Linked DNA regions of Stegostoma tigrinum. The protein of the gene in region 1 purifies or fractionates together with the protein of each later gene. This does not show direct contact. Links are inferred from orthologs where the notes say so. Each region holds a gene or a part of one and is shown in the gene's direction. Other genes may lie near its edges. The genes, in order: kinesin-like protein KIF24 and centriolar coiled-coil protein of 110 kDa-like.

The links.
Region 2: the proteins of kinesin-like protein KIF24 (region 1) and centriolar coiled-coil protein of 110 kDa-like purify together in Homo sapiens (co-immunoprecipitation; 4 studies listed by BioGRID and IntAct, with this or other methods). This does not show direct contact. The link is inferred for Stegostoma tigrinum from reciprocal best matches to the Homo sapiens genes KIF24 and CCP110.

The regions. Positions count from the first base shown.
Region 1 is NC_081354.1:141,153,024-141,168,082, forward strand, and holds the start of kinesin-like protein KIF24, read left to right. Parts: upstream 1-7,428; 5' UTR 7,429-8,175; intron 8,176-15,059. Other genes in the region: nudt2 (bis(5'-nucleosyl)-tetraphosphatase [asymmetrical]), read right to left, coding at 3,879-4,192, 7,271-7,400. UniProt on the Homo sapiens protein: Microtubule-dependent motor protein that acts as a negative regulator of ciliogenesis by mediating recruitment of CCP110 to mother centriole in cycling cells, leading to restrict nucleation of cilia at centrioles.
Region 2 is NC_081376.1:55,076,209-55,092,042, forward strand, and holds the start of centriolar coiled-coil protein of 110 kDa-like, read left to right. Parts: upstream 1-8,698; 5' UTR 8,699-8,763; intron 8,764-15,834. Other genes in the region: gde1 (glycerophosphodiester phosphodiesterase 1), read right to left, coding at 989-1,094, 3,874-4,049, 8,272-8,526.

The DNA.
Region 1 (15,059 bases):
AATAGGCCAAATGGTATAATTCCATTTCTTATCTTATGGTCCAAAAGAAAGTCAGACTGAAGAAATATTACTTTAAAATAAGGTTGATAATTTGAGTGGGTATTTTGCAAGTGATCACTACAGCGTTTATAAGTAACATTCTGGAAGCAGTGGTAAAACATGAAATGGGAGGGAGCAATTCAAGAAAATCACCACCAAAGAAATTTGCAGTCCGACCCCACCACCAAAGAAATCAGCAATCCAACCCCACCAGCAAAGAATCTGCAATTCGACCCCACCACCAAAGAAATCAGCAATCCAACCCCACCAGCAAAGAATCTGCGATTCGACCCCACCACCAAAGAAATCAGCAATCCAACCCCACCAGCAAAGAATCTGCGATTCGACCCCACCACCAAAGGCATTTTTCCCTCCTCACCCCTGTCTGCTTTGCGGAGGGACCACTCTCTCCGTGACTCCCTTGTCCACTTCACACTCCCCTCCAGCCCCACCACACCTGACACTTTTCCCTACAACCACAGGAAGTGCTACACCTGCCCTTACACCTCCCCCCTCACCCACATCCCAGGCCCCAAAAAGACTTTCCACATCAAGCAGATGTTCACCTGCACATCTGCCAATGTGGTATACTGCATCCGCTGTACCCAGTGTGGCCTCCTGTGCATGGAGAAACCAAGCGGAGGCTTGAGGACCGCTTTGCAGAACACCTCCGCTCGGTTCGCAATAAACAACTGCACCTCCCAGTCGTGAACCATTTCAACTCTCCCTCCCATTCTTTAGACGACATGTCCATCGTGGGCCTCCTGCAGTGCCACAACGATGCCACCCGAAGGCTGCACGAACAGCAACTCATATTCTGCTTGGGAACCCTACAGCCCAATGGTATCAATGTGGATTTCACAAGCTTCAAAATCTCCCCTTCCCCCACTGCATCCCAAAACCAGTCCAGTTCTTCCCCACCTCCCTAACCTGTCCTTCCTCCCACCTCAAACCACACCCCCATTTCCTACCCACTAACCTTATCCCGCCCCCTTGGCCTGTCCGTCCTCCCTGGGCTGACCTTTTCCCTTCCCTACCTCCCCACCTACACTCACCTTTACTGGGTCCAACCCTGCCTCTTTGACTTGTCTGTCTCCCCTCCACCTATCTTCTCCTCTATCCATCTTCGCTGTGCCTCCCCCTCTTCCCCTCCCCCATTTCTGATGAAGGGTCTAGGCCTTTCCTGAAACATCAGCTTTCCTGCCCTAAGATGCTGCTTGGCCTGCTGTATTCATCCAGCTCCAAAACTGTTATCATAAAACAAGTGGTACTAAGTATTTGGTGCTATGGACTGACAATTGCCTCGGTCCTGATGGATTTTATTGCAGTGTTTTAAAAGGAGTGGATAGTGAGATAATTGATGCATTGGTTCCAACTTTCCAAAGCTCCCTTGATTCAGGGATGGTCCCAATAGATTTGGAAGGTATAAAATGTAACTCCTACATTTAAAAAGGGAGAGTGAAAGTAGGACACCAAAGGCCAGTTAGCTTAACATCTGTTAAATGGAAGCTGTTAGAGGCAATAATTAAGAACATCATAACATAGATAGATAGAGTTGATAGCCAGAGACTATTTCCCAGGGCAGAAAAGGCTAACACGAGGGGTCATAGTTTTAAGCTGGTTGGAGGAGAGGATGTCAGAGGCAGGTTCTTTACACAGAGAGTTGTGAGACCATGGAATGCGTTGCCAGCAGCAGTTGTGGAAGCAAGGTCATTGGGGTCATTTAAGAGACTGCTGGACATGCATATGGTCACAGAAATTTGAGGGTGCATACATGAGGATCAATGGTCGGCACAACATTGTGGGCTGAAGGGCCTGTTCTGTGCTGTACTGTTCTATGTTCTAAGAGAGCACTTTGACCAAGTTAAGGCAATCAGGCAGAGTCAACAGTTTTATGAAAAGGAAATCATATCTACTGGAGATTTTTGAGGAGGTAACAAATGCTGTGGGTAAAGGGGAACTGCTGGGTGTATTGCACTTAGATTTCCAGAAGGCATTTGTTAAAGATGTCACATCAAAGATTATCAGAGAAAATGAAACCTCATGGTGTCGAAGGTAGCATATTCATTTCCATATAAAATTGGCTGGGTAAAAGGAAGCAGAGAGTACACGCGATAGATCTTTTCTTGTGTTGGTAAGATGTAATTAGAGGCGTGACGAGTTCAGTGCTAGGATCTCAACTGTTTACGATTTATAAAAATGGCTTTGCTGAAGGGACAGAAGTACAATTGTCAATTCTGACATAGGGAATAGGTAGGAAAGTACATTGTAAAGAAGACACAAGGTGATTACAAAAAGATACTGCTACATTGTGAGTGGACAAAGGTGTGGCAAAAGGCATATAATTTGGAAAATGTGAAGTTGCCCATTTTTTAGGAAGAATAAAAAAAGGATATAATCTAAATGGTAAGAGATTGCACAGCTCAACGATACACAGATTGGGGAGCCCCCATACATGAACGGCAAAAAGTTAGAATGCAGGCACAGCAAATTAGGAAAGCTAATTGAATGTTATCATTTATCACGAGATCTGGAAACTAAAGCTGTGACATTGAAAGAACGATGGTGAAAACATGGAGTACTGCGCACAGTAATCCATTTAAAGATTTAAATGCATTGGAGGAATTAATATCTGGAACAGGTGAATTGTTTTATGAGGAAAGGGTGGACGGGTTAGTCATGTATCTGCTCGAGTTTAGAGTAACAAGTGATTAGTTAAAACAACTAAATCTTGAGGCGTACTGATAGATTTGGAAAGGGTGTTCCTGCTTTTGGGAAAACTTAGAACGGAGAGGTGGGTGTGAGCAGATCATCAATGTTTAAATAAAACTTAGGGGTCATCCATTTAAAAGGGACTGGGTAAAATGTTTGTCTCTCAGTCACAAGTCTTGGTACTCTCTTGCTGAAAAACATGGTGGGAAACTGAGTTCTTGAAAATTTTTAAGGCAAATGTTGACAGATTCTTATTAAAGGGTTGAAAAATTTATCAGGGTCAGCAGGAATGTGGATCTGAGATTACAATCAGACAATCCAAGATCTTATTGATTGGACTCAAAATGCTGAATGTCCCACTCCTGATCATACGTTTGTATGATTTTCTCTCCAAACACTGCCAGACTTAGTGAATATTTCCAGCAGTTTGTTTTTATTGTATGCCCCCGAATAACCTGAAGTGCTACACAGCCAAAGAAGTTTTGTTATTTTAAGTAAAGTTAGCTGCCAAGGACCAGCAAGGTTCTCAAAACAGAAATAAGATGACTAATCAGTTCATCTGTTTTTGGTGGCATTCAGGGAATGCTGCCCTATTGGAAATGCTATATTTCAGACAAGGATGCTAAATGGAGTCTTCATCTGTCATTTTAGGACGAAGTGTCAAACTCGATGATCTGATTCAAGGACAAGCATGGTAGCACTCTGTGCTGTCCATTAGAGTCATCAGAACTGAGTATCCAAGTTAGCTTACTGTCAATTATGGAATCATTCTGAAGGAAACACAGCATGGCAAGTTTCATAATGTAATAACATCCAATACACTTCAAATGCAATTAATCGGTTAGAACATGCTGAGTTTAATGAATGGTATATAAATACAAATTAGTTCTGCCTTCCATCACCAAACTAGGGTTCTGGGTGAGGGTTAGGATTTGGAAGGGTGTGTGAAACAAAGGCCAGACATGCTTCCTTTTTGCTGCCTACTAATATTTAAGATGCAGGCTCTCACATGAAGGACCAATGGTGACATGTGAACAGTTGTATTGAGTATTGTCATTTCAAGAGCAAAGTAGAGGAGACGCCTTCAACAATTTTAACAATCCAGCTCATTTGCAAAGAACCTGGTCTTATTTGTTTGATGAGATGAACTGCTGAGCTTCTCTCAGTGCTTCCTGCATTTCTTGATATTTTGCAACTTCACAGGCCTCATCCACATTTAACCAGCGAAATGACTGGTGCTCATTAGAGAGTTTTATTTCTGTATTATAGTTCTTTAGTTCTGCCAGCCAATAGATAACAGTTTTGGGTTTATTATTCACTTTGTATATCATTTCCTTTTTGTATCCATCAAGCAGATTAAAATCTTTTCTTCTTAGCCCTGCTTCTTCCTCAGTTTCACGAAGTGCAGTTTGAAGGTCATCTTCACCTGGATCAACATGCCCTTAAAAAACAAGATTAGACATTAAGCAAGCAGGCAGTGAATAACTGGGCCGAACATAATTATTAAAGTTTCACTTAAGTTTACCACTGCAAAGAACTCTGACTGACGGATTTGTTTCCTTTTAACAGCAAGTACCAAAACACAACCTCAGAGTGACAATTATGTTGGGCACGATCTGTCCAGGTAATTGAAGTTACATATTCAGGATACACACTTAAAGTGCAGTGCCCAGCACAATACTCCAACTAGGGTCTAACCAGTATTTTGTAATGGGTCAGCATAACTTTCACGCTTTTGTATTCTGTCACAACTTAGAAAGCACAGAGTCTTATTAGCCCCAACAGCCTCAATCTGACCTGTCATCAAATCCAAGGAGCTTAATTATACGAGGTGCCAGATTCCCCACCATCACAGCTCAAAGGTTGGGTGAATAGGGGAAGGAGCTCACTGAGGGGGGAATTAAAAAAAGGTGAGATTTCTGTTTCACTGCTATCAGCCAGAAACTCTCTAGAACTTTGGGAACAAAGGTGGTGGTGCACTTATAGGAATTGGGATGAGTTTGGGGGATTTCATCTGGTACAAAGCTGGTAGAAGACTCTGGAGAGTGGGGTGGAGGATCAGGAGTTTGTACCAATAGGGATGGGAAAAGAAACCCAGGTTGGTGTAAGTCTCTTAGCAGGCACTCCAAAAACCAATAAGAAGGAGCTGCCACACCAACAGCCCACAGAAGGTAACCTACTGGACTTCCCAGGGACAGGTCTCTCCAGGTGCCAGTTAAATCCTGGTGACAGCAGGATAAGACCCAAATAACAACTAATTTCCAATGAGAGTCTTGATTAGCCCAGGTAAACTGCCCAATGTCAACCATAACATCAGTACAGTTTGGAGTGGAGGTATGGGTAAATGAGTAGATGGCAGGCAAGCCAACTGCAGAGACAAACTGTCACATGTTCTGCCTTTGAACGCATCGGCAAAGAAACTAAAATCCAGCCTCCAGTCTTTGGTCCCATAGCCACTTAAAAAAATTTACTTTACAATGCTTCTCCTATTTCTTCATCAAAAAGGACCATTTTAAGCATTAAATTTCACTTGCCTCAAATCTTCAAGTTTCTGTTTCTCCACATCTCTCTGTTCATTTCATTTACAAATTACATATCATGGCTTCAAAGCACTTTAGGGTGTCTAGTGGTCATGAAAAGTGCTGAATAAATGCATATCTTTGTCTGTAAAGTTTGAAATCATCCCAGTAACCAATTTGAAGTCATTAAAAGTATATGACATTGAATCATTTCAATATGAGAATTATATTTATCAATAAATCTATTACCATTACACACTGGAATCTGGCATGCACGTGTTTTTCAGGGACTATTTTTAGAGCAGTCTTTCCAATCATATTGTAAGTGACTTCAGAGAAGGTTGTGGCACAATGGTAATGTCGCTAGACCAGTAATCCAGTAAATCACAAATTTGAATTCAATAAAATAATGGAATAAAAACTAGCACAAAGGCAGCTGTGTAACTATTGCTGATTATCATAAAGACCCATTTGGTTCCATCCCTTTAGGATGGAAATCTGCACGTGACTCCAGATCCAGACCCAGACATGACTCAATCGTCTTCCGAACAACTGGAGATGAACAATAAATGTTGGCCTAGTTGGTGACATCCCTCCTATGAACAAATTAAAGAAATACATAGATTTAAATGAGTTATGAATATCAAATACACCCTCATTTAAGTCGATGGTGAGTATGAAAATCTCTTTACACTCAGGAATTGTGGAAGTAGTTCGGATGACTAATGGTTGCGGCCAAGACTATGCTCCAGATTTTCTAATCAGCAATGAAGGAACAGCTTTCACCATAAACCACAGGCACTGTCAGGCTTGTCAGCAGAGACATCCTGTTATTGGGGTGTTCAGCTGAGCTATCACCCTTTACTGGATATCATTGGCATTTGTCAGTAAGACATGATGTGGAGGTACCAGTGTTGAACTGGGGTGGACAAGGTCAGAAATCACATGACACCAGATTATAGTCCAACAGGTTTATTTGAACTCACAAGCTTTCAGAAGCAGAGCCTGACGACAAAGGGGCAATGCTCCAAAAGCTTGTGTTTTTAAATAAAGGTGTTGGACAATAATCTGGTGTTGTGTGATTTCCGACCTCGTCAATGAGACAAGCAGCAGATTGGCTCTTCAACCAGATTAAAAGAATCAAATTGAGCCACAGACTGTGAAAACCAGAAACAAAATACATTTCTGAATCACTGCACAAGCAGCAAAATAAAATTGGGATGTTTAAACTGGATTATTGAAACAACAGAAAACATTTATAAAAAAACTTTTACTTCTTTAAAGATCAGTAACACTAATTTTCTTCCCAGAATGAGGCCTCAGATTTAGAATTGGTTTTCAAAACAAGACACTGGCCAGCAGTAACTATTTTTACTCTACTCATTGCTAATTGTAAAAAGTATGTGTTTTAATTTATTTTCAGCATGAGAACAGTTGGCAATTCACATAATGTATACTTTAACAACTACTGGAGATTCTAACCATCATAATTAGCAGTGGGGAAAAGATATCAATGACAACAACTTTCAAATTCACATGATGAATCGTGCATGAAGGACAGAAATTGCAGTTAGATCTACACAGAAGTAGCAGGTAAATAATGGGTGCCTCCTATACCCCTAATACCAGTGATATAGAGTTGAGGAAAAACTTCTTTACCCAGAGAGTGGCGAATATATGGAATGCTCTGCCCCAGAAGGCAGTGGAGGCCAACTCTGTGGATACTTTCAAGAAAGAGATAGATAGAGCTCTTAAAGATAGTGGAATCAAGGGTTATGGGGATAAAGGCAGGAACAGGATACTGATTGTGGATGATCAGCCATGACCATAATGAATCGTGGTGATGGCTCGAAGGGCCGAATGGCCTACTCCAGCACCTATTCATCCAGCCTCACATTTTATTATCTCCTCTACTCCAACACATATTGTCTATAGGCAGCCCATCCCTCGCCCAAAGCCAGCACAGAACAGGCAACATCCTCTCTGCTCGAATGAAGCACCTTTAGGAGGCGTCCAGTGATGCTGTCCATAGGAAGTCTGCAAAAGTAGGAACTCGATGTCCTGAGGCTTAGCAGCTAATCCGGTGTTTAACCTCCTGAAAATAATCAGTCCACAGGCCCTCAGTGTCATGGCCGGAGACAGGAAGAGACACCAACCGAAAACCGGAAGCTCATCCGCGAGACCAATTAGCGGCGACAGTCTCACATAATCAATTCACCAATTAATTCAGCTGAAACGGAATCGGAGATTCGCATCTAAAAGCGTTGGGTGTTCTCTCTGCAGATGGACGCTGTAACTAGCGTTTTTACGATTCTCTCTCATTAATCGACTATCAGTTCAAAGCTTTTACTAAAGGTCTCTTGCTGAATGGGTGGTAATTTCTTGTAAAGTGACGGGATCTTGTGATAACAATGTGTAGAGCTGGATGACCACGAGAAGCATCTGAGGAGCAGGAAAGCTGACTTTTCGGGCCTAGGCCCTTTTCGGCCCGAAACGTCAGTTTTTCCTGCTCCTAAGATGCTGCTTGGCCTGCTGTGTTTATCCAGCTCGACCGCCTTGTTATCTTGGATTCTCCAGCATCTGCAGTTCCCACTATCTCGAGGATCTTGCGATAGGTCAACGCTTCTGTGCTTCCCTGATTGGTCGAACGGTTGTATAGCGGATGTACAATCATCTTTTGTCCCCTGGCCAATTACCGTAGGTTCTTATAGGTCAGAGCCAGATACCTGGTGGTGATTGGTTTCTGGATGATCACCGGGCCGCCGACACCGGGCACGGATTGGTCAGGGCCGTGCGCGGGGCCGCAGCGCGCGCTGCGCGAGGCGGCTTTCAAACGGCCGGCGGCGTTGCCATGGATCCGAATGGCGCTGTTGTTACGGCAGAATGAGTGGGAGCTGCAAAGTTGGTAAGTGGATTGCCCCAATAAAAGCAATAAGTTCAACATCAGCAACTGTCTATATTTATGTCGTATAATAGTAGTAATGTTATTAAAAATAATGGGGGTGGTAGCGTTAATGGAAAGATGTTATCAAAAGTACGTACATGGATGATGCCGGAAACTGTAGGTGTACGCGCAGGAGTGGACAATTGGCTCTCATTTACTTTGAGAAAAGATGCCCGAGAGGTGTCCCAGTGATAATGGGAACTGCAGATGCTGGAGAATCCAAGATAACAAAGTGTGGAGCTGGATGAGCACAGCAGGCCAAGCAGCATCTCAGGAGCACAAAAGCTGACGTTTCGGGCCTAGACCCTTCATCAGAGAGGGCGATGGGGAGAGGGAACTGGAATAAATAGGGAGAGAGGGGGAGGCGGACCGAAGATGGAGAGTAAAGAAGATAGGTGGAGAGGAGAGTGGAGGTAGGGAGGGGATAGGTCAGTCCAGGGAAGATGGACAGGTCAAAGAGGCGGGATGAGGTGGTAGGTAGGAAATGGAGGTGCGGCTTGAGGTGGGAGGAAGGGATGGGTGAGAGGAAGAACAGGTTAGGGAAGCTGGTTTTGGGATGAGTTTCTGTTCAGATGGCAGTTCACTCTCACACTGATTTTCAAATGCCCTCTTTTTTTATACCTTTGACCTATTAATTTCTTATAATAAAATTGCTTCTAGGTTGTCAAAGCCATCAGATTTAAATTTAATTATATTTTGGTCTCTAGAGCCTGATTTAAATTAATTGGCTAACTTCAAAAACCTGTTGCCTTGGTAAAAATGCTGCTTTGCCTGCTAACAGTATAGCTTTTTGACACAATATTTCAGTTTCAAGAACTCTGTCTGCCGACAATAAAGCCTAAAAAGACATCATCTTTTAAAGGGACCACACACTCTTTTCCCCTCATCATTGTCCAAGCAAATACTAATGTCCTGCCTTCGAGTCCACAAATACTATACCCAACTTAGCAACATTGTCATTACAAGATAGCAAGTAAAAGTCCAGCAATGAATTCTGAAGAAACTTATTTTACCAAAATATTGGTGAGAGTGTGGAACTCAGTGCCATGGGGAGTGTTTGAAATAAATAGTGTAGCGGCAATTAAAAATAAGCTCGATAAGCATTTGAAGGAGAAGGGAATATAAAGTTGCTGTAGTCATAGATGAGGAAGATGGAAGCAGATTCAAGTGGCTTACAAGCAGTGACTTGATTGGTTGAGTGGAATAGCCTGTTTCTGTCAAACTGTCCTACGTAGATGATTTGATAATATTCTTTAGGGAAGAAAATCTATGGTCCTTACTTAGCCTGGCCTATGCAGCCTTCCTGCGGGACACAGGGTGGTCGATGATGTAATATTAGGTAATGAAGCTTGGCAAAAAGGGTGAGGTATGGGGGAGGTGCAGGTGCATTTTTCAGACAATGATTATAACTTTATTAGCTTCAAACTCCTGCTGGAAAATGACAAGGATGTGCCTGAAATCAAAACTCTAAATTGGGAAAGGCTGATTTTCATAAGATCAGATATGATTTCACCAAAGGTAAATGGAAGAACAGTGGGACACATTCAAGAAGGAAACAGGAACAGTACAAGGCAAATGTGTTCCAATAAAGATAGAGGGTGGAGCCAACACATCCAGTGAACCCTGAATGTCGAGGCATACCCTGGAAAGAATTTAGAGAAAAAGGCAGGCTTATTGCATGTACTCAGGGCTCAAAACAGCAGAACCCATAGAGGAATATAAATGGGAAGTTGAAATTTGAGGAAAGAAATTAGGAGAATAAAAAAGGTGTAGGAAAAGATAATGGCAGATAAAATAATCAAAAATCTTGAATTATTTTCTGTGACTCTATCTGGACATTTTGGTAAGCATGGACCTGTTTGGGCCAAAGGGCCCTGCTGGAGGAATCTGACTGCAACAGTAAGGATGAAAGGTTAACAACCACAGTGGTAATTTTGAGAGTGGAAATGGAAGGTATAGGTAACGTTCGACATGAATACTTTGTGTCAGTGTTCATTATTCAGCTGGACTACCTGGGTATAGAAATCAAGGAGAAGGGCTGTGATACAATTAAAGAAATTAGCATAGACAAAGAGGAAGGTTTGAGTGTCCTGACAGGCCTAAAAGTATGTAAATCACTTGGGCTGGATGAAATGTATTCAGCTGTTGAGTGAGACAAGGGAGGAAATAGTGTGGATGCTCGCATTATGTTCAATTCCTCTCTGGCCAGAAGAGAGGTGTCAGTTAACTGGATGACAGCCAGTTATTCAAGGAGGGTAGGGGAAGGTAAATAGGAAACCACAGCTGTCATTCCAACCTCCATGGTCGGGAAAATATTGGAAGCAATTCTGAAGGACAGAATGGAGACACAGGGATTAATTAATAATGGTCAGTGTCGTTTTATTAAGGGGACCTCTGACCAACTTGATTGTTTTCATTTCTTGAAGAGATGTCCAGGTGTGTAGATGAGAGCAATGTATTTGGCACAGTCAACCTGAACTTTTGCAAGACTTTTAATAAGGTCCCACATGGGAGAGACTGATAGCAAAAGTGAGAGTTCATTGTATCCAAGGAAAGTTGTCAAATCGGATCCAGAATTGGCTCAGTGGCAGGAAGCAGAGATTGATGGTCTAAGGGTGTTTCTTGACTGGAAGCCTGTGTCCAGTAAGATCCTACAGGAATCAGCCTTTGCTATTTTACATATAAATGATTTTGCTTTAATGTAGGAGGGTTAATCAATAATTTCAGGGATGATGTGAAAATTGATGCAGTGATAAATAATGAGGGGGATAACCTTCAAGTACAGGAGGATTTAGATATCCTGGTTAGACGGACCGATCCGGCAAATGGAATTAAATCCAGATAGGTGTGAGGTGTTGCACTTAGGCAGGTCAACATGGTAAGGAAATACCTGATGAACAGAAGGACCTTGGGGAAACCTGAAGACACAGGGGTCTTGGTGTACATATTCACCAGCCCCTTAAGATAGCAGGACAGATAGATAAGGTGGTTAAGAAGGCTTATTGATACTTGCCTTTATGAGCCGAAGCATGGCATTCAAGAGCAGGGAGGTTATGCTGGAACTGTATGAAATGTTGATTAGGCCAAAGCTGAAGTATTGTATGCAATTCTGGAATCTACATTAATGGATGGATGTGATACCGCTGGAGAGAATACAGAGGAGATTTACTAAAATGTCATCCGGGCTGGAGTGTTTTAGTTATGAAGAGAATAGATGGTATAGGCAGAAGAAACTCTTTGATTCAGTGGAGGATTCAATGACCATGGGACATAGGTTTAAGGCAGGAAGTTTAGAGGGAGTATGAGGAAACATATTCACCCAGAGGTAGTGGGAATCTGGAACTTATTGTCTGTCAGGGTGGTAGAGGCAGAAACCTTCTTAACGTTTAAGAAATATTCAGATGTGCACCTGCGATGCCAAAGCATACAAGGTGATGGGCTAATTGCTGGAAAATGGTCTTGAAATAGATCAGTGCTGTTTTTGACCAGTGCAGAGTTGATGTGCTGCAGGACCTTTATCTGTGCTATAGATCTCTGTGACATGTGGTCAACTTTTAACTGCCCTCTGTAATGGTCGAGCAAGCGACTCAGTTCAAGGGCAGTTAGGCACATGCAATAAATGTTACAATGAAGTAAAATCAAAAAATTCTGGGATTTAAATTGAAGTTTATGTTGAAACTAGTATTTTATGTAAGTCAATTCACTGTATCTGTGGATGCTTGAGGGAGGAATGACTCAGTAATATTAATGGAATTGCAAAAGTCAGTTAGTAGTGTCATTGCCAACTTCTCATGTTTATTGGTTCTGATTATTAAAATCATACAATATTAATGACTTAGTGCTGCATTTCAGTCTTGAGCAAAGTTATAGCTCATGGAAAGAAATAGACAGTAGCAACATAGATGCAAATCTGTCAGAATGACAGGAAACATTAGGAGTTAATGGGTGATTTTTGGACTAGAATAAGATATGTACTAGAGTTCCCCATGGGCCTGTTTGGACCCTTAAACTTTGTGATTTGTTAATGACATAGATTTTGGTGGAAATGGCACAATTTCAACAGTTGTGGGTGACAAAAAACTGGGAAGCATTGTGAACTATTGATAAAGTATACAGTATCCTTCGGTATAGTAATAGAGGTATGAAGTACAAGAAGCCCAACATTATGTTAAACTTGTATGAAATGCTATTTTGATGTCAACTAGAGTGTTCTATCCAAAGCTGACTGGCCTTTGTTTTCTTGCTTTCTGTCTCCCTTTTTGAATAAAGGAATTACATTTTCTATTTTCCAATCTCTTGGAGCCATCCTTGAATCAGAGCTCTGGAAAATTAGAACTAATGCATCAATTATCTCACAAGCCACTTTTCCTTTTTAAAAAAACACACTATGATAAAGTCCATCAGGCCCTGGGTAATTGTCAGTCTGTAGCTTCAACTATTCAGCACCACTTCTCTTGTGATTATGATTTTCCTGAGTTGCTTTTTCCCTTCCATTTCATGATTTTTACTTCAACTAGGATGTTATTTGTAAGCTCTGTAGTGAAGACTGTTGCAAAATAGCCACTCAAATCCTTAGCCATTTCCCTATTTTTGCAGTAATATTTCTTCAGTCTGACTTTATATAGCGTCATACGACCATAAGACATAGGAGCAAAATTAGGCCATTTGGCCCATCATGCCTCCGATGCTATGAGATCATGGCTGATAAATTTCTCAATCCCATTCTTCTGCCTTTTCAATAATCAAGAACCTGTCTTTCTCTGTCTTAAATTAAGTGATTTGGGCCTCCACAGACTTCTGTCACAATGAATTCCACAGGTTCACCACTGTCTAGTTGAAGAAATTCCCATTACTTTATTGACAGAAAGAGGCTTATAATGTTGCCAGAAAGAGAAGGATATCTGAGCTGTGGGTATTTTAGAATTCAGCAGAGAAAACCATGTTATTGATCATTTATGTTTGATCCTTCATTATTTAAACTACCAAGGGGCACTAAAAAGTTAATATACTTATAAGTCAGTTGGAGGCAGAGACTGAGAAATTATAATGGAGATTTTGAAATTGTGACAGATAATAAAATTCTCCAATAGCCTGGATTTTGCAGAGGTAATGATGATGTGTTCATGTTTGTTACTCCTCAGGAGTCCATACACACATAGTCAAATATCAAAATCTAGAAGTTTCTATCAATGATTAAGAATACTATGCCACAATTATTGAATAAAGAACCCGTCTGGTAATAGAAAATTATATATTTAAAATTGCAAAACTTTCATCACAAAAGTGCCAAGCTTTTAAGTTTATAGTTTTTAGTTTCTATTATATATCTATCTGTTTTGGGGCCACTGCTGTTTGTCATTTTTATGAATGACCTGGATGAGGGCATAGAAGGATGGGTTAGTAAGTTTGTGGATGACACTGAAGTCGGTAGAGTTGTGGATAGTGTGGAAGGATGTTGCAGGTTACTGAAGGACATAGATAAGCTGCAGAGCTGGCAAATGGAGTTTAATGCAGAAAAGTGTGAGGTGATTCACTTTGGAAGGAGTAACAGGAATACAGGGTACTGGGCTAATGGTAAGATTCTTGCTAGTGTGGATGAGCAGAGAGATCTCAGTGCCCATGTGCATAGATTCTAGAAAGTTGCCACCCAGGTTGATAGTGTTGTTAAGAAGGCGTATGTGTGTTAGGTTTTATTGGTAGAGGGATTGAGTTTCGGAGCCATGAGGTCATGTTGTAGCTGTACAAAACTCTGCTGTGGCCACACTTGGAGTATTGTGGTCGCCGCATTATAGGAAGTATGTGGAAACATTGGGAAGGGTGCAGAGGAGATTTACCAGGATGTTGCCTGGTATGGAGGAAAGGTCTTATGAGGAAAGGCTGAGGGACATGAGGCTGTTTTCGTTAGAGAGAAGAAGGTTAAGAGGTGACTTAATAGAGACATACAAGATGATCAGAGGATTAGATAGGGTGGACAGTGAGATCCTTTTTCCTCAGATGGTGATGGCTAGCACAAGAGGACATAGCTTTAATTTAAGGGGTGATAGATATAGGGCAGATGTCAGAGGTAGGTTCTTTACTCAGAGTAGTAAGGGCATGGAATGCCCTGCCTGCAAAAGTAGTAGACTCGCCAAGTTTAAGGGCATTTAAATGGTCATTGGGTAAAGATATGGATGATAATGGAATAGTGTAGGTTAGATGGGCTTCAGATTGGTTTCACAGATCAGCGCAACATTGAGGGCCAAAGGGCCTGTACTACGCTGTAATGTTCTATGTTCTTGATATTTAATTTAAAATTCTCTATGGCATTCTGCGTCTCCAGTTGGCTGTGTTGTCTACAGCTTTTTCATGGATCCATTCATGTTTAATGATCATGGAGTTGCAACTGCTAGGATTTGAAAAATAAGATTGCTGGTCTCGTTCTGCTTGCCTTTAGTGCCATGATCTTCATCACAGAAAAATATTTTTTCATGTTGCTGTGGATGCAGTTGCTGTTGTTGCAAATCCTTGGTGTGTTCTGTGAAATACGTATGCTATGTCTTTCATTGCGCTTCAACAAAGGGCTGGGACTTCTCAAATGAGGCAGCAGAGACTTCGTACACACTACCCAAATCCATAAGTATGAGAAGTTCTAAGGTCGCTGCCTCTACTGAATCACCAACATAAGTTCTTTCTCTGTCAGTCTGCCCTGAAGCAGCAAACAGGTTTAAAGTGCTGTTATGTAGATTGATACTTCATCTTTGGCATTTTTTTTTCCTATCATTGTGATCCTGTCTTTTGAGAGAAATGAGGGTCTGCGTTACCTTGTAATTGTAAGGCTGGAGTATCTATGATGGATAGTGATTCCT
Region 2 (15,834 bases), on another chromosome or scaffold:
ACCCAGACCCATCCTCCTATAACCCACACACCCATGAACACTACGGGCAATTTAGCACAGCCAATCCACCTAGCTTGCACATCTTTGGACTGTGGGAGGAAACCAGAGCGCCCAGAGGAAACCCACGCAGACACGGGGAGAATGTGCAAACTCCGCACAGACAGTTACCCGAGACTGGAATTGAACCCGTGTCCCTGGCGTTGAGAGGCTGTGGTGCTAGCCACTGAGCCGCCGTGCCGCCTTTTAGTTTTGGACTTTTCCATAAATAAACCATTTCCTTCTATTTACTCCAATAATTCTTTCATAATGTTACAATCTCCATTAGGTCACTTTCAGCGCTCCTCTCTGAGCCTTTCCCAGGTATAACCAGGTATATCAGTTCTGATATCAGTTCATCATATGGAATTGGCCAGTCAAGCAAATGCAGTGGAAGGTTGTGGTATAATTGATCCAGAAACCAGGAGCACCTGTTGACTAGAGATCGAAACAAAGAGACTGCAGTCGTTCATGCAATATCCATAGTCCACGAATAAATAAAAGTAAGATATCTAATAGATGACCTTGAAGAGAAAAGTGGAAGAAAAGCTGACTGAACGTTTCAGAATATTTGGGTGAAGTGAAACGCATTTAACAGAAAGTGTCAATGTCATGCAAAACTTGAAGAGAATAATTCATTTTTTAAAATTATACACGTGACTATGAGAATTGCATGTCACATCTTTGTTGCAAAACACTTCAAGGTAAAAATATTCCTCAAAGCAGTTCTGCACAACATTAGTGGTCTTTTAAATTACTCCATCAACATCCACTCAAAAACATATTCAGTTAGGACTTATTTACTTTGTGGTGCTCCAGAATATGATTAATATTGGCATTAACAAGGACAACATCATCTTAAATCAAACTGGCATTGCTCCTCACAGATTCAAATGGATTGTTCACTCAAAACCATGTTTGTATTTTACATGAATCAAAAAATATATTGTACCTGCATTGCATGACCTTTGACATCAAAGTAAATGGTCATATTGCCTTTGAGACTTTCAACAATAGCTTCCTCCAAGGTTGGGACTTTCTCATTTGGAAAGTATTTGCTACATAGAACAGAAATGCAAATCATATTAGATATTGAGGGTTTAAGAAATAAATATTGAAATTAATTAAGTTCAATTACAAAAACTGAATTGTAAAAATTAAAAAAACAAATTACATTGTTTTAAAATGAAAATGTTTATGAAAACAGCATAAATATTTACAATGAGTTTTAAACATTGTACGATTGTAGTTTCCTGCACAACTGAACAATGAAACGTATGAACAAGAAACAATGAAAAACAGTTAAAATTAATTGATGAATATCAAGGTTATTTCTAAATCAGAAGCAAAAACAGAAATTGTTAGAAAAGCTCAGCAGACATGGGAGCTCCTGTGGAGAGAAATCAGAGTTAACATTTCCAGTCGAGTGACGATTCCTCAGACTCAAAACGTTAACTCCGATTCCTCTCCACAGATGCTGCTAGACCTGCTGAGTTTTTCCAGCAATTTCTGCTTTACAGCATCTACAGCTCTTTGGGTTTTTTAAACTACTTGGTTCAAAAATTAATTAGAAATAAAAATCTCTGCTGTTTCTCACAGACCAATTATCTGGTCTATTCATACAGCACATTATAGTTAGCCATACAGCTGAGCAGCAAACCGGAATACAAGTATTATATATTTTCACATAAGACAACCATAGAAGAGGCAAGAAACAGAGACACACAAATTAGGCTCTATCATATGTTGAAAGGTTTCTTCCAGAAATGTAAAATGTTCTTTCTGGATGTTTTTGTAATGCAATGAGTAGATTGAGACAGTTTCATCTGTCAACCACATTTTAAATGCGTTGCGACTTAGCTGTAGCACAGTGCTCTGAAGTCAGTCTTCGGAGGTTCCCAGAGTGCTCAAAGGATCCTGGATGGCATTTAAGACGTATCTAAATTTCACGGAACTATGCGGCACACAATGTCAAACCCATTACGTGAATGAAAACCTTATTAAGATGTTCTCACACAGCCCTTATCTGGAAAGTGAGAAGATACCTTTGGACCTATAAGATAATGGAGCCATTGCAAAGTAGATACTGATTGTATTGCAATCAACCACATCGTTATCAGACTGCGACTGAATGAGTCCAGAAAAAAAAATTGATAACCATATGCCCTACTGTAGTTCTCCAAGGTATTACAATTCAAAGGTACTGCAAAGAATAAAGTTAGAACCCAAAAGAAGGAATTGATCAGGTTGCACAAAATGCCAGTGCAGTTTTCAAAGCATAGCTGGCTGAACATATAGAACATTACAGCACAGTACAGGCCCTTCGGCCCTCGATGCTGTGCCGACCTGTCATACCGATCTCAAGCCCATCTAACCTAAACTATTCCATGTACGTCCACATGCTTGTCCAATGACGACTTAAATGTACCTAAAGTTGGTGAATCTACTACCGTTGCAGGCAAAGCGTTCCATTCCCTTACTACTCTCTGAGTAAAGAAACTACCTCTGACATCTGTCCTATATCTTTCACCCCTCAACTTAAAGCTATGCCCCCTCGTGCTCACCGTCACCATCCTCGGAAAAAGGCTCTCCCTATCCACCCTATCTAATCCTCTGATTATTTTATATGTTTCAATTAAGACACCTCACAACCTTCTTCTCTCTAATGAAAACAGCCTCAAGTCCCTCAGCCTTTCCTCGTAAGACCTTCCCTCCATACCAGCCAACATCCTAGTAAATCTCCTCTGCACCCTTTCCAAAGCTTCCACATCCTTCTTATAATGCGGTGACCAGAACTAAACACAATACTCCAAGGGCGGCCGCACCAGAGTTTTGTACAGCTTCACCATAACCTCTTGGTTCCGGAACTTGATCCCTCTATTAATAAAAGCTAAAACACTGTATGCCTTCTTAACAGCCCTACAACCTGGGTGGCAACTTTCAAGGAGCTGTGTACATGGACACCGAGATCTCTCTGCTCAGCTGCACTGCTAAGAATCTTACCATCAGCCCTGTACTTTGCCTTCTGGTTACTCCTACCAAAGTGCATCACCTCACACTTGTCCACATTAAACTCCATTTGCCACCTCTCAGCCCAGCTCTGCAGCTTATCTATGTCTCTCTGCAAACTACAGCATCCTTCGTCACTATCCACAACTCCACCGACCTTAGTGTCATCTGCTAATTTACTAACCCATCCTTCTACGCCCTCATCCAGGTCATTTATAAAAATGACAAACAGCAGTGGACCCAACACCGACCCTTGCGGTACACCACTAGTAACTGGTCTCCAGGGTGAACATTTCCCATCAACTATCACCCTCTGTCTTCTTTCAGCAAGCCACTTTCCGATCCAAACTGCTATATCTCCCACAATTCCATTCCTCCGCATTTTGTACAATAGCCTATTGTGGGGAACCTTATCGAGCGCCTTGCTGAAATCCATATACACCACATCAACCGCTTTACTCTCATCTACCTGTTTGGTCACCTTCTCAAAGAACTCAATAAGGTTTGTGAGGCAAGACCTTCCCTTCACAAAACCGTGCTGACTATCCCTAATCAATTTATTCTTTTCTAGATGATTATAAATCCTATCCCTTATAACCTTTTCCAACACCTTACCAACAACTGAGGTAAGGCTCACTGGTCTATAATTACCAGGGTTGTCTCTACTCCCCTTCTTGAACAGGGGAACCACAGGGCTGCAACACTTCTGAAATAACAATACACTGAAAAATGTGGTCTAATTCTTATCAATTTGAGATTCCATCGCAAAAAATTTGAAAAGGTTGTTTTACTACTATAATCAGCATGGGATACATTCTGATTACATACTGCAGTCTGTGCTTGGCTGCCGGGTTAAGTTTTCGGACATCTTCGAAAGTTAAGTGATCAAGAGAACCGATACCATCAGTTGTGCGGTCCACAGTACGATCGTGCATCAGAATAGGGAAACCATCTGAAGTGAACTCGAGATCCAGCTCCACACCAGTAGCGTTATTTTCAGCAGCCTAAATGAGGAGCGAGAACAGGACGTCTCAAAGGATTCATCAGCTTATGTGCACTGTAGCTTGACAGAACACCTCACTGTAACGCTGGCACTACATAATGCTGATTTAACTTAGACTGTCATGAAAAAAGCTCGATAATATTGATTATTCTCCTGATAGAACAGAGGATATAATGCAGTGACTTGAGTATAGACTAAGCATTCTAGTAACTTACCCGAAAATATTTTAAACGGAACTGTAGAAATTTTTTTCATTTTATTTAAATCCATCTCATGGCCAGTCCTTTTATTGTCTTTGCTCTGGCTCAGTGTACATTTTCTCTGATAACAACTCCATAATCCAGAACATATCTTGGGGCTTTGTTTGTGTAAATTAAAGAACATAAATAGAAGTTGATATTCTCGTTGTTAACTAACAATGAGTTACATAATTAAACCCAATCCTCTTCCTTGCTCACCAACTGCACAAACATATCCAGTACTGGTTGCCGTCTTGTTCTGGCAATTTTTCCCTTCAGTATCCAAGGTCAAAGAATAATACGGCTGAGATAGTTAGGATCAACTGAATCAACACAGGCAAAGAGATGTGATTTTCCAGAGCTGCATGGATGTGAACTAACTGAAAACCCACATCACACTCAGTGCCAGTTTTAACAACCGACAGTTGTAGGAATTAAGGTGTTGTAATAACGTACACAAAGCGCTCTCAAGTTTCTACCAAGCAATCCACTGAAGGTGGTGTCTCTCAAGACATTCTTTAAAATTCTATTACACATCAAGTTTTCAGTTACCAAACATTAAAAGATCTGTCTGATCATCTCCTCCTTTGGTTAGGTGCCATTTTCTGTCCCCAAGGCCTTGGGATGTTTTAACTATATTAAAAATACTATATAAATGCAGATTATTACTGCATATAAGGACCTGCTGAAGACAAGGAGATTCAGAAGGTTCCTACCAGAAACTTCACTGATTACAGGAAATTTAACAAGTTAAAAGAACCTGTTAATTTTATTTGTGTACCAATTTTTTTGTTGTGCTGTAAGCCAACTTTTGGGATACTCTTTCCTTGCAGGAAAGAATTGTTGGGTGCTTTTTTACATTGGAACTGATGAGAAATGCAACTCTGCGATGCTGGGTATTGGTTAAACCACAAAACTTTAAAAAAGCTTTCCCGAGTAAGAAAGCAGTAAATGTGGAGAGTCAAAATAATCAAAATGGTTTCAAGCTGAAACATTTTGGAGGCTCAAGATCCTTTAATATTTCTTTAAAACAGATCAATAGAGCTACTAACAAGACTTCTCCTCAGTACTGTAACAATTATTAGCAGCACTGAAAGATACAGAAGAACAAGGAGCAGCAGCTGGACATTCAGGCCTTGAATCTAATTCTGCCATTTATTAAGATCATGGTTGACCCAGTTGTAACTTTATATGCACATTCCTGTCAAATCCTGGTAACCACTTAATATATTGTTTACCAAGATAAGGTGATGAGCCATCAATTTTTTCCTAGAGTTTGGGGAGTCCTAAACAAGAGGGCATAGTTTTAAGGTGAGAGAGCAAAGATGTGCAAAGGATTGAAGAGGTAACCTTTTCATGCAGAGGGTGATGCATGTATAGAATGAGCTGCTAAAGGAAGTGGTAGAGGTGGATACAATTGCTACATTTAAAGCCATCTGGATGGTATATAGATTGGAAGAGTTTAAGAGGGATATGGGCCAAATGCTGGTAAATCAGACTAGGTCAGATTTGGATGTCTGGTCAGCACAGATCGGGTAGACTGAAGGGTCTGTTTCCACACTACGATTTTATAAGAAACTAGCTTCCACTGTTCTAAAAATATTCTTCATCCACTGGCTTTCAATGTTTACGTAAGCAAGGAAAGACTAGCCACCAAGCAACTGAAGTAACTGATGTGTGTCTGACAAGTTGAACACATCTACCAAATTTTTTTTACACTAAATATTACTGCTGTAACTACAGAAGATATTAAAATTCTGAAAATATATGGGTTGAAATTAGAAATAAGTATCACCTTGATGGGATTGTACTACAGCCCCACCTCAACAGTCAGAGAGAAATTCAGAAGCATATGTAGGGAGATCGTATGTAAGCACAATAAGACTGTAATAATGGGGTACAAAAATAGAAATTGCTATTACAGACTCAGCAGGTCTGGCAGCATGTGTGGAGAGAAATCAGAGTTAATGTTTCAGGTTGGGTGACATTCTTAAGGTTCTTGTGAAGATGTGTAGCTTGGGTTGCGGATGAAGTTGATGGCATGCTCACCGAGCTGGCTGGTTATCGTACAGGGGTTAGTATGACATTTATATGATCTGGTCCACCTTAGCTCAAGCCAACCACAGGAATTCCTAGAGGCCTGGTTTTCAACACGTAGTGCAATCAACAAACATGTGGAATTAAATCCCATATACAAATCCAGAACAAATTGGAAATGATACAACCCAACTTATGGACTAGATCATATATATTCCAAGCAGAGTAGAACTACATCACTTCATCAGAGGCTGCGATCATGTTACCTGGCACAGTGACGAAACGTATGTACGATAACCAGCCAGCTTGGTGAGCATACCAACAAACTCATCCACAACCCAAGCTACAAATATTCAAAAGAACCTTAAAGAATATCAATATATTGAAGGAGAAAGCTTTGGGTATCCTAAATTGCATTGAGGTAGACAGCTCTCCAGGAGCAGATGAGATCTATTCTAGGTTAGTGCAAGGGGCAAGGGAAGAAATAGCTGGGCCATTAGCAGATATCTACATATCCTCTTTGACCACAGGCGAGGTTCCAGAGAACTGGAGATTAGGCAATGTCTTTCCCTTGTTTAAGGAAGGCACCAGGGATGATCCCGGAAATTACAGGCCAGTCAGTCTGATGCCTGTGGTGGGGAAGGTCTTGGAGGGTCAAGATATATGCACATTTGGAAGAAAGTGGACTAGTTAAAGACAGCACGGTTTTGTGTGGGAAAGGTCACATCTCACCAGCCTGAATGAATTTGTTTTTGACCAACTGACAAATATAATCGATGAGGGAAGCGTTGTGGATGTAGGTTATTGGGACTTTAAGGCATTTGATAAAGTCCTACATGGCAGATTGGTACAAAAACTAAAATCACATGGGATTTGGGGTGGGTTCTAGGCCCAAAATGTCAGCCTTCCTGCTCCTTTAATACTGCTTGGTCTGCTGTGTTCATCCAGCTCTATACCTTGTTATCTGAGATTTGGGGTGGGCTGGCTAGACGGATACAAAACTGGCTAGGTCACAGAAGACAGAGGATAGCAATGGAAGGGCTTTTTCAGAATGGAAACCGGTAACTAGTAGTGTATTGGTCTTGGGTCCTCTGTTGCTGATATTGCCGACAACTGTGAAAGGATACACAAGGGTATAGATAGAGTGGCGACTTGGGCACAGAAATGACAGATGGAGTTTAATCCAGACAAATGGAAGGTGATGCATTTTGGAGGATCAAATTTAAGTATAAATTATACTGTAAATGGCAAAGCTCTTGGGAACATTAACATACAGACGGATCTGAGTGTACGGGTAACTTTTTTTTGGTAAAGTTAGGTCACACAGATTCAGGATGACCTTGCCAACTGGATACACGAATAATTCAACAGCAGCGGACAGAGTGGTGATAGAGGGTTACTCTTCAGAGAGGAGGCTGGTCACCAGCTGTGTTTCACAAAACTTGGAGCTGGGTTCTCTTCTGTTCATCATTTATGTAAATGATTTGTATGAAAATGTAGAAGACATGACTGGTAAGGTTGTGGATGGCACCAAAACTAACAGCATAGTAGACACTGAAGAAGATTTTCTAAGGTTACAAAGGAATCTTGATCGCATGGGTCAATGGATGGAAAGATGGTAGATGAGTTTAGTTTGGATAGATACGAGGTACTGCATTTTGGTACAAAAAGCACAGGCAGGACATACAATTAATGGCAGGGTGTTGGGTAGAAAAGAGGGACCTGGGAGTTCAGGTACATAATTCTTTGAAGTTTGCATTTTGTGGGGTTGAGAGTTGGTAAGTTTTGGCCAGGGTTGGTGGATGGAGGGAGGGGAGGGGCTGTTTTAGAAGGGACTGTAGAAGTGGAATAGGGTGGAGGGCTTCAAAGGGACGGTTGGGAGTTTGAAGATAGGAAGCCTGGAGGGCGATGAAGAAGAGACAGACAGTAGACCAACGGGACACTCACCTTCCTGATGGCCCCCAGGGTGTTCTCCGGGGCATCATAGCCGCCTCCCCGATGGGCGACTACCGAAAGGCGGCCATTGGGACGGAGCACCTGCTGAGCGACCTCGAGCGGCACGGGCGGGTACCTGAGCGCTTGCACGGCCAGGCACAAGCCGAGCACTAGTACCGGAAAGTAGACCGGGTGGCACACACTCACCACCAGCAGTGCCACCACTGCCAACAGGAGCAGAAATCCGGCCACCACCGTGACATCCATTACCGGACACCCGCCCCCCCGGCCGCTGACGCTCCAGCTCGGGCAACTGGTCCACAATGGCGCTACGGCTCCTCACCATGGACACGTCTCCAGGGACCGCCCTCACCGGCAGGCGTCAGCACGCAGCCTTACGTCAGACGCTGCAACAAAGAGGAGAGGGGCGGGGCTGACAAGAGGAACTGTTGCTGGACTGGGTTGGATAAGGTCAGAAATCACGCAACACCAGGTCACAGTCCAGTAAGTTCATTTAAAAACACGCTTTCTTACACACGCTCCTTCTTCAGGTGTCAGCCTGATGCCGAAAGCTGTCTTCAAACAGATCCGTTGGACCATAATCTTCTGATCTGTGATTTTTGACAGTATGGGAATGGCCTGAATGGGGGGCGGGGCTGATAGCAGAGAGGTGTTGTTTGTGGGGGTGGGACTGTGGCTGATAGCGGAACAGGACCGTGTGAGAAGGCGGGGCTAAAAACAGAACAAGGCGGTACGTGGGGCGGGGCCGTAGATGGGCGGGGCTATTGGCTGGGGTGGGGTTTTGGGAGGGTCGCTGTGAAAAATGGAGTGGCTGTGTGTGGGGTTAGAGATGGGGAGGGTTGAGTAATGTGAGAGTCTGTTGGAGAAAGTGCAAGGGGTCAGCTCTGTTAGGCTCAGAACCATTCGGAAACTTTGCCAAGCTGATGGCAAACATTCTCTCTAATAGCATTTGATAATTTTCATTTATCTATAGATAATTTATTTACAGTAAAACATTTATTAAATGACTTAAAGTAAATTCACAATCTCACCCATCATTGGTGCTTTACAAGGATGATTCATGAATTCCATGGATATACGATCAGCATAGAATCCTTCCAGTGCGGAAACAGACATTTGACCAATTGAGCTCACAACAGCCCTCCGACGAACATTCCACCTCCCCACCCAACTCATGCAACCCTGCATTTCCCTCGGCTAAGGGAAACTGACTAACTGCACCCCCTACGTAATATGGGGCAAGTTAGCCTGTCCAATCCAGCTAATCTGTACATCTTTGGATATGTTGGTTTGTTATCATGCACAGATCAAAGATTGGTCTGTGTGGAATGGGTTTCAATTTGTGGGACCCTGGCACCAGTAACAGGTAGAAGGGAACTGTTCTGAGGGGACAGGCTTGAACTTGAACCTTAAAAACTGAAAGAATTGTGGATTCTGTAAATAAGGAACAAAAACAAAATTGCATGAAAAGCTCAGCAAGTCTGGCAGCATCTGTGAAGGAGAAAACAGAGTTAATGTTTCGGATCTGGTGACCCTTCCTCAGAACTCAGTTTTTGATTTGAACCTTGCTGGGACCGGTTTGCTAGTGAATTAAATCATTTGGGCTTTAAATTAATGGGGTGGGGAGAGGTAGTTTGGGAGAAGGGACATTTAGGCTTACAACAGTGCTTGTCTACAAGTCTCTGAAGACAGTAGAACAGGTTAACAGGAGCAGAAATTAGGCGAACTACCCTATGTCTTATGTTCTAAAGAAGGAACATGGGATAGTTGCCCTTTATCAATTGTGGCTCAGATTATAAGAGCAAAAGATTTTGACGAAGCTATACAAAACTTTGAGTGGAGTACAGTGTGCAATTCTGGTCACAACACTATCGGAAGGATGTGATTGTACTAGAGGGGATGCAGAGGAAATTTACAAGGATGTTATTTGGAATGCAGCATTTTTGCAATGAAGTGAGGCTGGATAGGCTCAGGCTATTTTTTTTAAAGAGTAGAGAAGGCTAAGGGGAGCCTGATAGAGATGTATAAGATTATGAAGGACACGATTAGTATGGACAGAAAGCAGCAGCTCCCCTTAGTTGAAGGCTCAATTATGAATAATTTTAAATTGAACATCTGGAGGTGTAGAAAGCATTTGAGAAAATACTTTTCTTTCATTGAGAGGGTGATAGGAACCCGGAATGTACTGCCTGGGACAGTAGTAGAGGCAGGAAACCTCACAGCCTGAAGATGAGCATGAAATGTTAAAATACGAAAGACTATGGGGCAAGTATTGGAAAGTGGAATTAGTTTGGTACAGACTCAATGGGCCAAAAGGCCTTTTCTGTAGATCATAGAACTGTACAGCTCAGCAATGGGCCCTTCAGCCATGATGTTGTGCCAAAAATGACACCAAATTAAAATTAAATTAAGCACCTTTCTGAAGAAGGGTCCCGATCCAAAACATCAGCTTTCCTGCTCTTTTCATGCTGCCTGACCTGCTGTGTTCTTCCAGCTCCATATTGTGTTATCCAGTAAAAGCTAGCTGTCTTCAAATCCCATTGAAGATGAATTCTCAATCAGTGAATGAAAGACCTTTGGTGCGCAAACAATTTTGTGCAAACAAAAAACGAGAAACAAAGCAGTTCATCAACTGCTCTGATCCAGTATGCTGCTCATGAACCAGGTCTCCCTGATATTTTCCCAACCTGAATATCCATGTCTTAACTGCCTTTGTATGCATTTCTGTTTGTGAAGGGGGTATTTAAAAAGGAATAGAGTTTAAATTGTGGAGTAATAATTTGGCAATTTATTTTTCCTAATTGCTGTTTTTTGGGGTTAGCACGGTGGCACATAGCACTAGAGACCGGATTCAATTCCAGCCTTGGGCAACTGTCTGTGTGGAGTTTGCGTGTCCTCCCTGTGTCTTTGTGGGCTTCCTCTGGGTGCTCTGGTTTCCCCTCATTGTCCACAGATGTGCATGTTAGGTGGATTGCCAATGCCAAATTGCCTTGTAGATGTTGTGGGATATACAGGCTAGGTGAATTAGCCATGGGGAATTAGTAAGAATGGGTAGGATGCCCTTCAAAGGGTTGGTGCTGACTCAATGGGCTGAATGGCCTCTTTCCACACTGTAGGAATTCTCTTCTTCTAAGTACACAAACAGGGTAAATGTTTTCCTTTAAGGCAAATTTTTCAGGCAGGTAAGTTGGGAACTTTGGATAAATCTTTTCACATTTGTGAGAATTCTGGGAATAGTGTGGCTTGCTTTACAAGCACTAACCCATTAAGTCATGGTACTTATTAGAAGCTTGGGTTTTCTTATCTTTAATAAATCTTGCATTGTCACAAAACAATCTAAAAGGGGGGGGGGGTGGTGGAGATGTAGTGTCACTGAGTAGTAATCCAGCACCCCAGGTGAATTTTCTTGGAGCTAAGAACAAAATATGCTGGAGAAATTTAGCAAGTCTCAGGTGAGAGAAGCAGAATTACTGGGGACACGGATTCTTTTCTGTCCTTGACAATTAGTGAAGTTTGAATTCAATTAATAAATCTGGAATAAAAATTTGATCTCATGGTGACCATGAACTACTGTTGATTAAAACGCATCCCATTCACTAATGTCCTGAGGGGAAAAAAAGTCCTCCATCCTTACCTCGTCTGGCCTACATGTGACTCCAGACCCACAGAATCATGGTTAACTTTTAACTGCCTTCTGAAATGGCCAAAAGAGCCACTCAGTTGTACTAAACTGCTACACAGCTTGATAAAAGAGGTGGACCACTCGGTATTGTTCAAGGCACTGGCAAAACAGAGTTCACAATGAAGGTCAGGTAACTCCATTGTAAAAAGTGCTGTAATCCTTTCTACAATCTTTGATTATTAAAACAGTCCTTTTCCCATTTCAGTCCACATTCAAAACTACAGTTACACAAAAAGTTATTAATATAATGTAAATAATCAAGCCCAGCACTGATCTGGCTCTCCACTGGTTACAGCCATGGATATGACAGCCATCTGGAACAAAGTGTCGAGGTAATGTTCCCCTTCCTCGAAATGGCATAACATCTGCAGCTTGGGCTCCAGACCCTCAACTCTGTACCTAAATTCTTCTACTCCAGATGGGTTTACCCTGGATCAACTTGGTGTTCAGCAGCAACCACATGCTACAGTAGCAATACATCACCCATTCTGCAATCACTATGGTATCTTATTTAATTTGTTCATTTAATTTCCTTGTCCTTTTCTTCATTAATTCATATGATTTCAGTGTCGCGGGCTAGGCCAGCATTCATTGCCCATCCCTAATTGCACAGCGGGAAGTTAAGAATTGATCACATCATCATGTAGGAGGTGATGGCGTCATAGTATTATTGCTCGACTAATAATCCAGGGACCTAGGTAATGTCCTGAGGATCTTGTTTGAATCCCACCCTGACAGATGGTGGAGACTGAATTCAATAAATCTCTGGAATTAAGAGTCTAATGATGACCATGAATCCACTGTTGATTGTTGGAATAACCCATCTTGTTTATTGATATCATTTACTGAAGGAAACTGCTGTTGTTATCTGGTTTGGTTTACATGTGATTGCAGACCCACAGTAATGTGGTTTACTCATAAAATGCCTTCTGGGCAATTAGGGATGGGCAATAAATGCTGGTCCAGCCAGTGATGCCATCATCCTGTGAATGAATAAAATAAAGCAAGCCAGACCAGGCAAAGATAGCAGTTTCCTTCCTGAAACACTAGTGAACCAGATAGGTTTTTCCCAACAATCATCATCATCATGAGACTCTCAATTCCTGATGTTTATTTTATTCAACTTCCAGAATCTGCCAAGGCAGGATTCAAAACTCGGTCTCCAGAACATTAGACAACAAAATCTGAGGCTGGATGAACACAGCATGCCAAGCAGCATCTCAGGAGCACAAAAGCTGACGTTTCGGGCCTAGACCCTTCATCAGAGAGGGGGATGGGGTGAGGGTTCTGGAATAAATAGGGAGAGAGGGGGAGGCATCTGCAGTTCCCATTATCTCTCCAGAACATTAACTGAGTTTCAGGATTAACAGTCTAATGATAATACCACTAGATCACTGCAAAACCGCAAAGCAAGATGGTGGTGCAGTAGTGCTCCTGAGCTCGGGGTACATCTGCTTCTCTTTTCTTTTTTCCCCTCTTTGCTCTTTTTTCTCCTTTTTAATTACCTCTTGTGAAGAGCTCGGTCATGATAAAGGCATCGGCGGTTGTGCAGTGAGCCCTGTGTGGACTCGTGGTGAAGGCATTGGAGTTTGGGTTCCTGGTGGCTTCTGCATTGACAAGGTGGACCCAGAGCTGGCTCATGGCTGCTCCAGTAGAGGTGTGTTTGGTGGTTGGTGGCGACTGTGTCCAGTGCAAATTCATGGAGGCAGCCCCATAGAAAGCCCTTGGCAGCAGCAGTGGAGTTGAGTTCAAGCCAGTGCAGAATCCAGCGGCATTAATGACATCTGGCAAGAATTCAGGGTGGCACCAGCATCGGTGGGAGATGAAATGGCGCCACAGAGTGGTGACTCTTTTACTTTGAACATATAACAGGAAGGACTGTAAAGTTAACTTTATTTCTTTACTTTTCTGATTTTATATTCTAAGTTTTAGATTTTCTTGTGCTTCAAGACAGCCAGAGAATGAGGTTGTGGACATGATTGCTGAGCTGGTGGGTTTGGATGCAAATGTTTCATCACCCTGCTAGCTAACATCGTCAGTATGCCACTGGTGTTGTGTATCCATATTGTCAGCTTTCTTCTGGTTTGGCCTGTGTAGTGTTTCTCACAGTCCTTGCTTGGTATTCTATACATTACACCTGTTTTGCTGGTTTTGGGTATGGGATCCTTTACGTTTGTCAGTAGCTATCGTAAGGTGTTGTTGGACGAAAACTCACAATAGGGACACATGGACACCAATTAGCTACCAAGAGACATGACCAGTTCTACTTGTCTCACTACACATGGACAATGAGGGACAAAAATTCTATTGGGACAACACATCTTTAATCGCACAAGCCAAATAGAGATATGCCAGGGAATTCCTGGAGGCCTGGTATTCCATCCGGAACTCCATTAGCAAAAACATGGAATTAGACCTGGTGTACAAACCACTAAGAAACAGAACCAGAAGTGATGCCAACCACCCCATCAAAGCAAGGCATATAAATAACAAGTGGGACAGAACACCGACACTTCACCGGAGGCATACAATGTTACCTAGCATGGTGACTACATATTTGCATCCAAACCCACCGGCTCAGCGAGCATGCATGTAACCGCATCCACAATCCGAGCTACAAATCTTTTCAAAAACTTTAAATGGCCAGAAAATGGCAACATTGTACAACACTTGTCACTATATTTTGTAACAAAAGACAATTGAAAATAAATAAATTAAATCAAAACAAATCATTGCCTTCCCTTAGTGGTATTAAAAAAATTCCAACATTAATTATCTGCTTATAGTGCCCTTTTAGGGAAAAAAGGAAGGCTGTTTCTTTCCTGGATGATGTTGAGCTTCCTGAGTATTATTGCAGCTGTGCCCATCCAGGCAAAAGGGGAGTAAACCATCAAACTCCTGCCTTCTGTCTCATAGATAGTTGACAGGCTTTGGGGAGTCAAGAGGTGAGTTACATGTTGCAGTATTTCCAGCCTCTATCCTGCTCTTGAAGCCACTGTACTTTTAGGGATGGCCCAGTTCAATTGCTAGTCAATGGGTAACCCTACTGTTGGGTTGTTGATGGTGAAGATTCAGTGACAGTATGCCATTGAATTTCAAGAGGAGGTGGTTAGATTGTCTCTTATTTGAGACGGTCATTGGCTGGCATTTGTGTGTCATAATTGTTAGTTTAATAATAAAATAGAAGTTTATTACACAAAAGTTAGGATAGAACATAACAAACATGCTACTCAAATATCAGTGAGAGAGTTCACTTCTCTGTCATATCTAGAGTTGTACAGCCGTAGACTGTGCAGCACGGAAACAGAACCTTCGGTCCAACTTGTCTTTGCCAACCAGATATCCTAAATTAAGCTAGTCCCATTTTCTAGCATTTGGCCTATATGCCTCTAAACCCTTGCTATTCAGGGACCCATCCAGATTACGATGATATGTTTTATTCGTATCAGCCTCCACACTTCCCCTGGCAGCTCATTCCTTACACTTACCACCCTATGCATGAAAATGCTGCTCCCTACAATGGGAACAAGATCTTGGCTATTCACACTATCTATGCTCCTCATGGTTGATAAAATCTCTTAGGTTACCCCTCAGCGTCTGGTGCTCCAGGGAAAATAGCCTCAAGCTCTTCAGCCTCTCACTTTAGCTCAAACCCTCTAAACGCGGCAACATCTTTGTAAATCTTTTTTGTAGTTTAACAACATCTTTTCTATAGCAGGAAGACCAGAATCGGTTGCTGTGTTCCAAAAGGGGCCAAACCACTGTCCTGGACAGCTGCAACATGGCCACGCAACTCATATAATCAATGCACTGACCAATAATGGCAAACGTACCAAACACCTCCTTCACTAGTCTGTCTACCTGTAATTCCA